Linked DNA regions of Canis lupus familiaris. The protein of the gene in region 1 purifies or fractionates together with the protein of each later gene. This does not show direct contact. Links are inferred from orthologs where the notes say so. Each region holds a gene or a part of one and is shown in the gene's direction. Other genes may lie near its edges.

What was found. The genes of interacting proteins can lie anywhere in the genome.
Region 2: the proteins of EIF4E (region 1) and ANGEL1 purify together in Homo sapiens (affinity purification with mass spectrometry; 3 studies listed by BioGRID and IntAct, counting the BioPlex papers as one, with this or other methods). This does not show direct contact. The link is inferred for Canis lupus familiaris from reciprocal best matches to the Homo sapiens genes EIF4E and ANGEL1.
Region 3: the proteins of EIF4E (region 1) and HHEX purify together in Homo sapiens (affinity purification with western blotting; 3 studies listed by BioGRID and IntAct, with this or other methods). This does not show direct contact. The link is inferred for Canis lupus familiaris from reciprocal best matches to the Homo sapiens genes EIF4E and HHEX.

The regions. Positions count from the first base shown.
Region 1 is NC_049253.1:18,844,960-18,848,459, forward strand, and holds part of EIF4E (eukaryotic translation initiation factor 4E), read left to right. Parts: intron 1-2,036; coding exon 2,037-2,100; intron 2,101-2,795; coding exon 2,796-2,909; intron 2,910-3,500. UniProt on the Homo sapiens protein: Acts in the cytoplasm to initiate and regulate protein synthesis and is required in the nucleus for export of a subset of mRNAs from the nucleus to the cytoplasm which promotes processes such as RNA capping, processing and splicing.
Region 2 is NC_049229.1:49,998,920-50,003,045, reverse strand, and holds the start of ANGEL1 (protein angel homolog 1), read left to right. Parts: upstream 1-1,326; 5' UTR 1,327-1,341; coding exon 1,342-1,405; intron 1,406-1,481; exon of another isoform or gene 1,482-1,506; intron 1,507-1,809; exon of another isoform or gene 1,810-2,055; intron 2,056-2,341; coding exon 2,342-2,479; intron 2,480-3,120; exon of another isoform or gene 3,121-3,232; intron 3,233-4,126.
Region 3 is NC_049249.1:7,235,507-7,239,646, forward strand, and holds the start of HHEX (hematopoietically-expressed homeobox protein HHEX), read left to right. Parts: upstream 1-1,340; 5' UTR 1,341-1,355; coding exon 1,356-1,719; intron 1,720-3,842; coding exon 3,843-4,021; intron 4,022-4,140. UniProt on the Homo sapiens protein: Recognizes the DNA sequence 5'-ATTAA-3'. Transcriptional repressor. Activator of WNT-mediated transcription in conjunction with CTNNB1.

The DNA.
Region 1 (3,500 bases):
AAAACAATTAACTTAATATTTAATTTATTTGAAAAATAATTTTTATTTCAAAGATAAAACTTGTTAAAACCTTTTTAAGAGGTTTAAGTAATTAGCAGTTATCTAAAAATTCTAGTTTGTACATCTAGTATATTTTTGGATCCTATATATGTTAAATCAGTGATGCATTTCTTATATATTAATCCACTGAATGTATTTTGCCCACACAAAAGAACAGATTGTCAGAAGATTCATATATCTATACTTCTTCCAGGGTAGAGACAATATTCTTTTGTATCTTTCCAGTGATTTGCCCATATAATAGGCATTTAGTATGCATTTAAATCCCCGGGCAGGGGTGGGGGGTGGGGAGTATAGACTAATTAGAGAAAACTCTTAAATTGTGAGCTATACGCTTTAAGAGCAGTCACTTTATATTGAAATCATTGGCTTTTTTTTTTTTAAGTAATGAAACTATATTTAAATCACCAGTAATTCACAGATTTAATTGTCTAAAGAGGGTTTTTGCCCTTCATCAAACATTAAGTGATTTTCTTCTTTAATTGTATTTACTTGAATCTTCTAAACCAAAAAGTCTCCAGTCTCCTAATAGAGGAGGAAGAGCAAGAGTCTTGAACCATTTCCCCACTGAATCAGGTCTATGTTTATCTAGTTTGTTTGGCTTTTCACCAATTTTCGTAATTGAGTTTCTAAGTGGACCTCTAATTAGAACATGGCCCCACACTTTAGTTATGTACAAGCAATGTTACTGCATAGTGGACTTAGACATATGAAGGAATTGTTTAGGTTTCTGTATATACCTAAGCACTTACTCATTTCTCACTTTTTTCCTGGCAGATTTTGTGGTGAACAGCTGTTGAGCCCTTTGGGATTTATCTAGTCTTGTCTGTAGTTTTCTGATTCTATTTAAATATGTCATTACAGATTCTCATTACTATAAACTTAACTAAGAGACCTTAGAGCATCACAACGGAGAAAAGAGACAACATAAACATTGGTCATTTCTACCTTGGATGCCATTGAAGACAGTCCATTAATTTCATAAAGTTGTGCTTATTCTATGGTTACTAACCCAGGCCTCATTTGTTGCCTAGTGGTAGTTGCCAGTGGTAATGTAGTTTGGGAAGAGTGACCATTGAGTAATTAAACAGGTCTCAGTCCTCCTCTACCTTCCCCAAACTGGATTTATATGTTATCCTGTGGGATGTGATCCAAAGGATGCCAGAATCTTTCTTAAAACTCTACTTGAGATATTTCTAGATTGGGTTAAAATAACATCAAGAGAATCTAACTAAGGATAATAGTAGCATTGTCCATGGTCTGCAGATGTAGTAAAGATCATGTTTCTGCATTTAATATTTACTTTCAGGCTAGTGAATATCCAAGTTACATTGATATTTGGGGGAAAGTTTAGAAATACAGATTCCAGGGTTCTAGCCCATATTTAAGGGATTAAAATCACAAGGAGTAGGGCCTGGTGTGGTTTTTTGTTTGTTTGCTGCTTGTTTGTTTTTTTCCAAAGCTTCCCAAATGATTGCTATGCTGACTGACTAGTAGTGACTGCAGTATTTGAGACCCATTGGTCTGTTTAGGATACCTTCAAGGATAATAGTGTTGTCTTCTTTCAATCATGTAACCTTGATAGGAAGTTTGTCTTACTTTCTCTGGATTTTTTTTGTGTGTGTGTCTTTAAAACTGCTCATTAGCCTCATGAATTCTTTCATGTACTTAAAGCCACCTCAGGCTTCCTATTCCCAGTTTCTTATATATACATATGTATGCATTGAGTTAAGAAATATATCAAAATATATTTTTATCAGAATAAAATTATTAAACATATTTTCCTGAAAATCATCAAATGCTGATTCTTGAACTGACCGTTAGGATACCTGTTTGATGCATTAAAGAAATTGACTCAGTAGAAGAACAAGTAAACATGAACTTTTATCTTATTATCATATTTTCTAAATGTATATGTAGGTACCTAAACTGCATTACATATTCTATGTTTATAATTGTCCTTTTCTTTTACCTAGTCTGTACAACCACATCCAGTTGTCTAGTAATTTAATGCCTGGCTGTGACTACTCACTTTTTAAGGTATGCTTTTACTGGCAATTTCATATATTTATTACAAGACTGGACTGTTCATTTACTCATTAAGAAATCTTGTCAGAAACTTAGGAATAGTTAATGCTCTGAGGTTTGGAGAATAATTAAATTAGTTTTACTGGGCTTTCACATAAACAAATTTTGCCCTATTGCTATAAATAATTGAAATTGAGAGTCTTACTTTATGGGCACACAGTGTGATTGATTTTTGAAGAGAGCTTTGTTCATCCAGTCCAGTATCTTTTATATATTTGAGTAGGCTGGAGTTTGTCAGAATTTTTAACCTGGGATGTATTGGTCTTTGGGGTATTTATAAATCAGTTTTGTCAAGTGGTAGGAGGTGGGGCATTCATTAACCCTGAAATTGCATAATTTTTGCATGTATTTTTCTAGATCATAGACATGTATGTAGCTTCTCAAGGGTATCTGCTACTCAGTGTTTAAAAACCTCAAAAGAAACTCAAGGTTTGATAGCTAGTAAGTGTCTATATCAAGACTCTTAATTCTGTAGTCCCATGCCTCTGGATTTAAGGCCTGCCTGCTTTTTTTCCCCCACTACATCAATAGCAGTTTTATGAAGAGAAAAAAACAAGAAGTTGACAGAGTTGTTGCTTGCTCTTTCTAGTGATCTCTTCAATTAAAATAACAATTTTGTCTAATATTGTTACTTACTAACCTTGTAGGATGGTATTGAGCCTATGTGGGAAGATGAGAAAAACAAACGAGGAGGACGATGGCTAATTACATTGAACAAGCAGCAGAGACGTAGTGACCTGGATCGCTTTTGGCTAGAGACAGTAAGCTTTTAAAATTATAAAATAGTTTTGGAATACTAAAAACTTAATTTGGATTACATTTTACATCGGTTACTTCTGAAGAGATGAGGATACCCACCCTATAAAATCTAAGCCAGCAATTAATTTTGTTCTATCATGTGAACATTGTATATTTTACATACTAGTCCAGTGAAACCCATACCGTATTACATATCAGATATAAAGTGATTGGTAGTTGATTCTCACCTTCCACAGTAAGTTTCTCCTGGTCATTTCATTAACTTCAAAATTGCAGAACTTCACATTTGTAAGTTTTTACAACCTTCTTCAGAGTATTACTGTGTATAAATTTTTTAGGTCAGTGAAGCAAACAATGAAAGCATAGCTTGATATTATTTACCTTATGTATTGTACTATAATCTAAAACTTCCAGCTTTTTAAGACATATATTAAATATGAGATAATTGGCATTTTCTATAGTGAGAAGTTAAAAGCTCTAAGCTATTAGGAGTAGGAATAATAGTCTCTTGGATTCGTAGCACTCATCACAGTGTCTCATTTATAGTTAGCACTTAATGAGTTAAGCAGTTACTGAATATTTGCATGAATTTC
Region 2 (4,126 bases), on another chromosome or scaffold:
CGGAGGGCTTCCCCGAGCAACCGAGGCTCCAGCCACAAATCAGCAATCGCACAACTCAGACACTAGGTACTGAACTTGGCAGTGTGACACCGTCCTTGCATCCCAGTGTGGCCGGGGTAGGACTGAGGGGTAAGGATGGGGGAAGAGAGAGACTCCAAGAGGTCTTCGGGTAGCACAGAATTGACAGAAGACCGGGCCTTCATTCAGTGACACCTGCTTTGTTGGGTCAACACAGATTTGGCTCCTACTGTGTGCCTGACACTGTTGTGGGCACTAGAGGGGCACCTCAATGAAAACCAGCCCACCTACCAGACTTGGTCCCTGCCTTGTGGAGCTTCCCACCCCTGCTCCACCCACTTTTCCTGACTCAATTACCAACTGGACACCTGCCCTTTTTTTTTTCTTTTCTTTTCTTTTTTTTTCCCCCCAGATTAGGTAAAAAGAAGGCTCATTTGGAATAGAATGGAAAAGGAGACAAAGGTGTGGACTTAATTTGGGACCTAGAATCTGAGTGACCTAGAGAAGACAGTAGAGTCAGGAACAGGGATAAATTCTTCTTCCCAAGAAGGCGCATCCTCCCTGGGATGCGGAGAGAGATTACAGAAGTCAGGGCTGCGGGGGCCTGAGACAAAGTCGTCATCTGTGGGGCGAGAGGTTATGGGGCGCCCCAGGTGGACTCCTACTGAGATGGCAGAGGGGGAATGACAGTGTGGCCCTGGGATGATACCGCGCGGCCTCCAACGAGCCTCGCTTAATTTTCAGGCTGGGCGCCCGCCCGTTGCCGCGGGAACAGGCTCCCCGCCCTCGCGAATCCCGCGCGTGCCGCTGCGCTCCCAATAAAGTTGTTGTTGAAGCGCCGCGGAGCCACGTGGGCCGGCCCGGGGGCGGGGCCGGGGGCGGGGCCGGGGCCAGGGGCGGGGCCGAGCGGAGCGGAGCGAGGGAGCGCTCCCAATAAAGTTGTTGTTGAAGCGCCGCGGAGCCACGTGGGCCGGTCCGGGGGCGGGGCCGGGGCCGGGGGCGGGGCCGGGGTCAGGGGCGGGGCCGAGCGGAGCGGAGCGAGGGAGCGCTCCCAATAAAGTTGTTGTTGAAACGCCGCGGAACCACGTGGGCCGGTCCGGGGCCGTGGGCGGGGCCGGGGCCAGGGGCGGGGCCGAGCGGAGCGGAGCGAGGGAGCGCTCCCAATAAAGTTGTTGTTGAAGCGCCGCGGAGCCACGTGGGCCGGCCCGGGGGCGGGGCCGGGGCGGGGCCGTGGGCGGGGCCGAGCGGAGCGAGGGAGACCCTGCGGGAGGCGCCGAGGAGGGGAGGCGGAGGCGGGCGCGGGCGCGAGCGCGGCGGCTGGCCATGATCGCGTCGTGCCTGTGTTACCTGCTGCTGCCGGCCGCGCGCCTCTTCCGCGCCCTCTCAGGTACCGGCCCCGCGTCCCGGCAGGCGGGTGCCAGGCCCGGGCCCACGTCGGCGGGGCCCCGCGCGGCGCGTCGGGCCTCACGACCACCTGCCCCGGCCCAGGTGCGGGGAGGCGGCCCCCGGTGCCGGTCCGGGACCCCGCGAGGCCCGGGCCTGGCCGACCCCCCGCCCACGCGGGCCTCCCTGCCCCCTGCGCCTGCGGCCTGACGGCGTCGGGCCACAGTTACCGTGGGAGGGGCCGGAGAAGGGGCGGCAGCCGCGCTCCCGGGCCCCCGCGGTGCAGAGGTTTCGGGGGTCCGCGGGGCACTGCCCTGGGGCGGGGGCGTTGGCAGCTCGGGTCGAGGCGAGGGCCGAATTCTCGGGGGTGGGGGTGGGGGTGGGGTGTGAGCCGAGCCCCGCACGTACCTGCGGCCTCCCGGGTCACTCCACGCTCCCCTTTCCCAGCCGCCGCTCCGCTCTCCGGCCGAGCCTCAGGCTGGGAAGGGCCGGCTGCTCCCCAAACCCAGAGACCACGGAAGCCCCCGCTTTGGAAGCCGCGTTTGGAGATGCGGCGGGGCGGAGCCGATGCCCACTCCCGCTTGGTCCTTGAGGGCGGGGAAGGCTGTCATGCTTGCACTTTCTCACCATCCGCCTGCACTGCCTGGTCTTTGAAATTCCCCAGGCTCTTAGGGGACCCCCTCCCTCTGCGAGAAGCAGAACTCCCAGAATGTTCTCTGGCGACTTTAGAGGGCGGGACAGACCAAGAGCTACTTTCCTAGGAATAAGCCGTCAACTGCATTCTGTGCTTTTTTTTTTTTTCCCCCCCTTTCTGGAACTTCACACGATGTGTGTGGGTGTGTAAATTCATCTGTTCCTGTGTGTCTGCCGCTGGAATGCAGGCTCCCGGGGTGGGGTGGGGGGTGCAGGGCCATGCCTGTTCTGTTCCCTGTGTTTCTAGTGCTAGCACACCGCCCGGAGTATAGTAGGCACGCGGTTCACCACGAGAAACTCCGCGGAAGTGTTTGTTTTCAGAGAATTAAAGCATGTGCCTTCATCCACGTTGCTGTCATTTCTGGAGCTTCTGATGTACGTCAAGGTGCAGCCTTAGTGACACCGACTAGTCCACAGGTTTCTAGGCCCGCAGAGTTTAGAGATCTCGGGGAAGGGAGCATCTCCCTCCCTCCTTCCCCCATTAAAGTAGTGCCACTTTTGTTGTTGTTGTTGTTTAAAGATTCATTTATATGGTCATTCATGAGAGATGCAGAGAGAGAAGCAGGCTCCTTGCAGGGAGCCTGATGGGGAACTCGATTCAAGGACCTCCGGATCATGCTCTGGGCGGAAGGCAGACACTCAACCACTGAGCCACACAGGCATCCTGCCACTTCTTTTTTTTTAAATATTTTTTAAATTTTTTATTTATTTATGATAGTCACAGAGAGAGAGAGAGAGAGGCAGAGACACAGGCAGAGGGAGAAGCAGGCTCCATGCACCGGGAGCCCGATGTGGGATTCGATCCCGGGTCTCCAGGATCGCGCCCTGGGCCAGAGGCAGGCAGGCACCAAACCGCTGCGCCACCCAGGGATCCCCTGCCACTTCTTTTAACTTTGCGTATTTGGTTTCTCCAGAAGGTTTTCTCTCCTTCCTTTCTTTCCTTCTGTCCTTCCTTCCTATAATTCTTTTGGAAAGCCAACCACCACCAAAAATCTGCTAAATTTGAAAACTAGTATCCTCACACAGATAAATCAGAGAACCGCTGCCGTCTAGCATGCAGAGGATGTTTCAAGGGACAAGGAATTAGAAAAATCCCTGAGATCAGAGCCAGCGGCCCAGTTCGTGGATTTAAACCAAGGTCTGCCAATCTCCGCACTATTGGCATTTGGGCCTGGATAATTTATTGTCAGGCTGTTCTTTGCACTGTAGGATGTTCAGCAGTGTCCTTCTCCACTAACTTTTAGATGCCAGTAGCATCCCCACAGTTTTGACAACCACTGTGTTTCCAGACAATACTAAATGGCCCCGAGGGCAAAATTACCCCTGGTTGAAAACCACTGGCTTAGAGGGACAGAAATCCACATAGACCATAAATAAGATTGTATCTGTCAACATTTGAACACTTTTGAAGTTTTTCTTGCCTTTTAAAAAATAGAGCTGATGAAATGAATCTCTGGTGATTGAGGGTGAGCATCGTGCATGTCACTTGTCCTGTGCCGTAAATAAGTGATTTAGTGAGTGTGGGTGTTTGCTTGCACTAAAATACTGTGCTTGGAGTTTGGGGGCTCTAATTTTAGAGTTTTCCCACTTGCTTTCTTGCCTGTTGACTGTCATTTGTGGCTGCTGTAGCAGAGAGATGACAGCTGTCTCTTGCTGTCACTTGTTGGCACCTTCTGATTTACAGCCTCTGGTGTGTTATGGGATGGGAAGGCTGATAATGAAGTTTGTGAAGATTTATGAATAGAATAGTTTTGAGAAAAAGACCAGGGGCCTTTGCTACAAAGTGAATCGTATAGATTCTGAGACACTCTTTTTGTCTACTTCAGGACTTTTTCTTTTGCAATGTGTTTACAGACTAGGGGATTTATAGAACTAGAAAGGCTCTTGGAGATTATGTAGTTCAAACTTCCCCTCCCCAATTTATAGTCAAGACTGAGTCCATATCACTGGGGGCATTGTCCAAATTTCAGCGCTAGGTCATAACCCACAGTTCTGATTCATGGTCAAGTGCTGGTTCCAATTCAGTGTGACC
Region 3 (4,140 bases), on another chromosome or scaffold:
GGTTTCAGATCATTATGTACTTCTCCTTCATAGCACACACATAAGTCACAGCATTAAAATTTGTTTCCTGTCTCCGTGAGGACAGGAACTACTACATCTGTCTTGTTCACTGCTGACACACAGTAGTTGCTCAACAGAAATGTGCGCAGTGAAACTCGAACTCGGGCCACCCAGCTTCCAGTCCACTCTTCTTTCGTCTGCGACCCCGCTTTAGTCGGAGAAATAGTTCCTAGACGTAAATTAAAAACCTCAATAGAAAAAGCTGGGAAATGTGCATTTCCACGATTAGTGGAGGACCTTAGCAGAAACTGCTCACCGCGAGGTGTGACGACCGCAGGAGGGCGTCAATCAAGAAAATGCCCCCTTGCCCCGCAGGCGAGGGGAGCTGCACGGAGCCGAGGCCGCAGGGGTAGCGCCACGGATTCAATAGAAAACACGTGTAAACGCGAGAGCGGTGCTGCGCGCAGCTGCGACCCCCGGGGCCCGGGGACAGGGGACCTAGGGCAACCCCCTTTGGGTGGGCGAAGACCGCACGACTTCTACGTGGCATCTAAGACCCGGGCTTTCCCCGGATTCCTCCCCGAAAGCGTCCTCACGGGAGCGGCTGAGGGCTGGGGCCCGCCCACCAAGGAAACGGGACGGAGCGGCCGCGAGGGCCGAGCGCTTCAAGCCTAGGCGTCCTCACCCCAACTGGGCCTTAGCTAGGGGCCGGGTTTCTCTCCTCGGAGCTGCCGCCCGGGCACAGCCAGCGCCACCGGCACTCCAGGGCGCGCGCCCACACGGGGGATGCTCTCGGCCCGCGACGGCGCGGTCTGCCAGTGCCTCCACGCCCGCCAGGCTCGAGTCCGGCTGCCCTGCGCCGGGTCCACTGCTGCCACCCCGGGGCCGGGCCTGGGCCTGGGCCGGTGCCCCTCGAGTTTCGGCAGGGCTGCCTCCCGGCACGGGCCGGGCCCACGGGAGTCCGTGTTCCAGCGCTGCTTTCCTCGAGTCTCCCCTCGACGGACGTGGCCCTGGGCTTCCTTCCCTTCGAGCGCTCCGGGGCCAGGGTGCCCGCCGCCCCGAGCGACGGCGGCGGCGGCCGGGGACCCGGGCGCGGGTCGGTCCTGGGAGCCGGCGAGCCAGCGCGTCCCGGGGGGCGGGAGCTCGGCCGGCGGGGGCGGGCCGAGGGTGGGGGCGGGAGGCGGCTCCCGGGGCTCCGCGCCATTGGCCGCAGGGACAGGCGGCAGGAAGGGGCCAGAGAGCGCGGCCCCACCCCGTGGCCGGCGGAGCCTATCGCCGGGAGCGCGGAGCGCGGATAAATGTAGCGCCGGGGCGCGGGCCGCCAGCTCTGCGAGGGGCCGGAGCGCAGCGGAGCCATGCAGTACCCACACCCCGGGCCGGCGGCGGCGGGCGCCGTGGGGGTGCCGCTGTACGCGCCCACGCCGTTGCTGCAGCCCGCGCACCCGACGCCGTTCTACATCGAGGACATCCTGGGCCGCGGGCCCGCCGCGCCCACCCCCGCCCCCACGCTGCCGTCCCCCAACTCCTCCTTCACCAGCCTCGTGTCTTCCTACCGGACCCCGGTGTACGAGCCCACGCCGATCCATCCCGCCTTCTCGCACCACTCCGCCGCCGCGCTGGCCGCCGCCTACGGACCCGGCGGCTTCGGGGGCCCTCTGTACCCCTTCCCAAGGACGGTGAACGACTACACGCACGCCCTGCTCCGCCACGACCCCCTGGGTAAGGCGGCCGGGGTCATGGCGGGGCCGAGCCGCGGCCGCGGCGAGGAAGGCGCCACCCGGCAGGTGGCAGCGTCCAGGAGGCGGCGGGGGCGGAGGGGGAGGCAATAGAAAGTTGTGGCAAAAGCGATCGAAAAGCGGCCCTCGGGCGCGCGCAGGGACAGGAGGCGCGTGCCCCAGTGGCGCGCTGCCGGGGCCGACCGCACCGTGACTCAGATTGGTTTTCCTGCACCTTGCAGGCGTCGGGGCGCGCGGGCCCGGGCGAGACCTCTGGCACTGCCGCGGGGGCTGGCGGCCGAAGGCAGCCCCGGGGCGCGCGTGTCGCTCGGGGTGGGGTCCCCTTAGCTGGAGGGACGGGGTAGGGAGTGCCAGGGCGCCCGGGCCGGCCCTGCGGGGCAGGGATAGCTGCTGGGCCCGGGTGGTTACGAGGCTGAACCTGGTTCAACAAGCTTGTGCAGTGAAAGAGCCTGACCCTTTCCGTTCATACAGGAAATCTTGAGTTCTCGATAGGAGTAAATCTGGTTTCAGAAGCTGTTAAGTGTTTTCCTGGCTGCATGAAGCAGACCCTTCCCCCGGAGTAGTGCACGCTGCTGATTATTTTATCGACATCCTCAATACAGACAAATTCAGGAAACACTCGACTTCTGATAGCCGGGATCCGTTTTTCTGATATTGTTCATTTCCTCTGTGTGGGATGTGACTTTATGGCAGCTAAAATAACCAGTTGCTTCCTTTTTTCCCCCGCCCCCGAAGCTGTTTTGCACTAGTCTGAAGCCTGACGTAAGCAAAATCTGGGAGAAAAAAAAAAAACAATGCCAGCTTTCAAAGTGTTTGGGGGCAGGCCTGCAGACCCACGGACGGACGGACGGACGGACTGACTGATAGGTCTTCGGAGTAGGAAAGGCGGGGAAGACACCTAGGACTTACGGTGTTCGCGGGGCTCGTCCCTCAGCGCACGGCCTAAGAAACAAGCCGACGGGGATCCGCACTCCCGAGGGGCCCTTGGCGGCTCCGGCATCGGAAGCCCCGGGGGCATAAAGAAACGGGGCTCCTTGCCTTGGGCCGCCAGGGTTTTAGATTTACTCTCTGCTATTGGCAGCTTCTTTGGGGACCCTAGAGACAACGTAACATTTTAATTAAAATTTTAATGTCTTCACGTTTATGATGAGGCCTTTAGCTCAGCCCTCCACCCTCTTTTCTCATCGTTAAGATTTGGAGGGGATTATATTTTAACTCCTTAAAAAAAAAGTTAACGTATTTTTTTTTTAAGTTATCATATTTTTGATCCCAGTTTCGAGGGTTTGGTGCGGTGGCTCCTGTCCGGCGTGGTTCCGTTCGCCTGCTGGGGCGGGAGCGGGACCCTCAGTCGGGCCGCGTCGGGGGCGAACGTTGTCACAGAGCGCGCCCTGGGTTTCCTTGGGTTACTGCTGGGACCGCGCAGGAGGAAGCAAAGGGCTTTTCGAGATAGACCAACAGGAAACACATTGACGGAAATGTTGCCATAGCCCACGGGGTAGCTTTAACTGGCCGCCCCCGCCGCCGGGTGTGAAATCAGAGGAGGAGGCCGCAGCGCCCTGGAGCCAGGATTGGAAGCTCCACGAACCCGGGCCCCAGGGCTTCCCAAGTGGGCTCCCCGCGGCGGCACCTGGCCAGAACACCTCGGGTAGTGTAGCAGTCCACGCCCCCCCCCCCAACATACACACACTCGGGTGTTTGGAAAGTGCAGCTCACCAAGAGAGAGGGCCTAGAGGTGCAAAAAGTTGTGTATAAATTCCAGAGAGACTTGTTAAGGAGTGTCGTGGTATTTTAAACTCCATTTATAGTGTGTGTTCTTTTGGGGATCAAAAGACTTGTGCGTTTGAAATCATTTATGGGTGTGATGGCAGTTTGCATCTGTGAGTGTACAAGGGTGGTCTGTGTGCACATGCAATGTAGATGTGTGTGCCTTTGGGTGTTTCTGTCTCCAGGTATGCATGTGCCTTGGGGGGAACGCATTGGGTCCTTGTATGGATGGGTGTGAACAAGTTCGGCTGAGGGTCCGTCTAGTTCCCTCCTCCCCTTTGTCACCCCCAGGGCCTGACGGCTCCAGGGCTGTCACTAACCTCTGCTCTCGCTGCCCTGTAGGCAAACCCCTGCTCTGGAGCCCTTTCTTGCAGAGGCCTCTGCATAAAAGGAAAGGCGGCCAGGTGAGGTTCTCCAACGACCAGACCATCGAGTTGGAGAAGAAGTTTGAGACCCAAAAGTACCTCTCTCCTCCCGAGAGGAAGCGTCTGGCCAAGATGCTGCAGCTCAGTGAGAGACAGGTGAGCGCGCCTGCGGGCTGGGGGCAGATTCCTGGGGCAGGGGGCTGGGGGCGGAGACCTGGGGCGGGGGGAGCCACCGTGGGCTCAGGCGTTCCTCGTCGCCCCCTAATGCCTGGAGC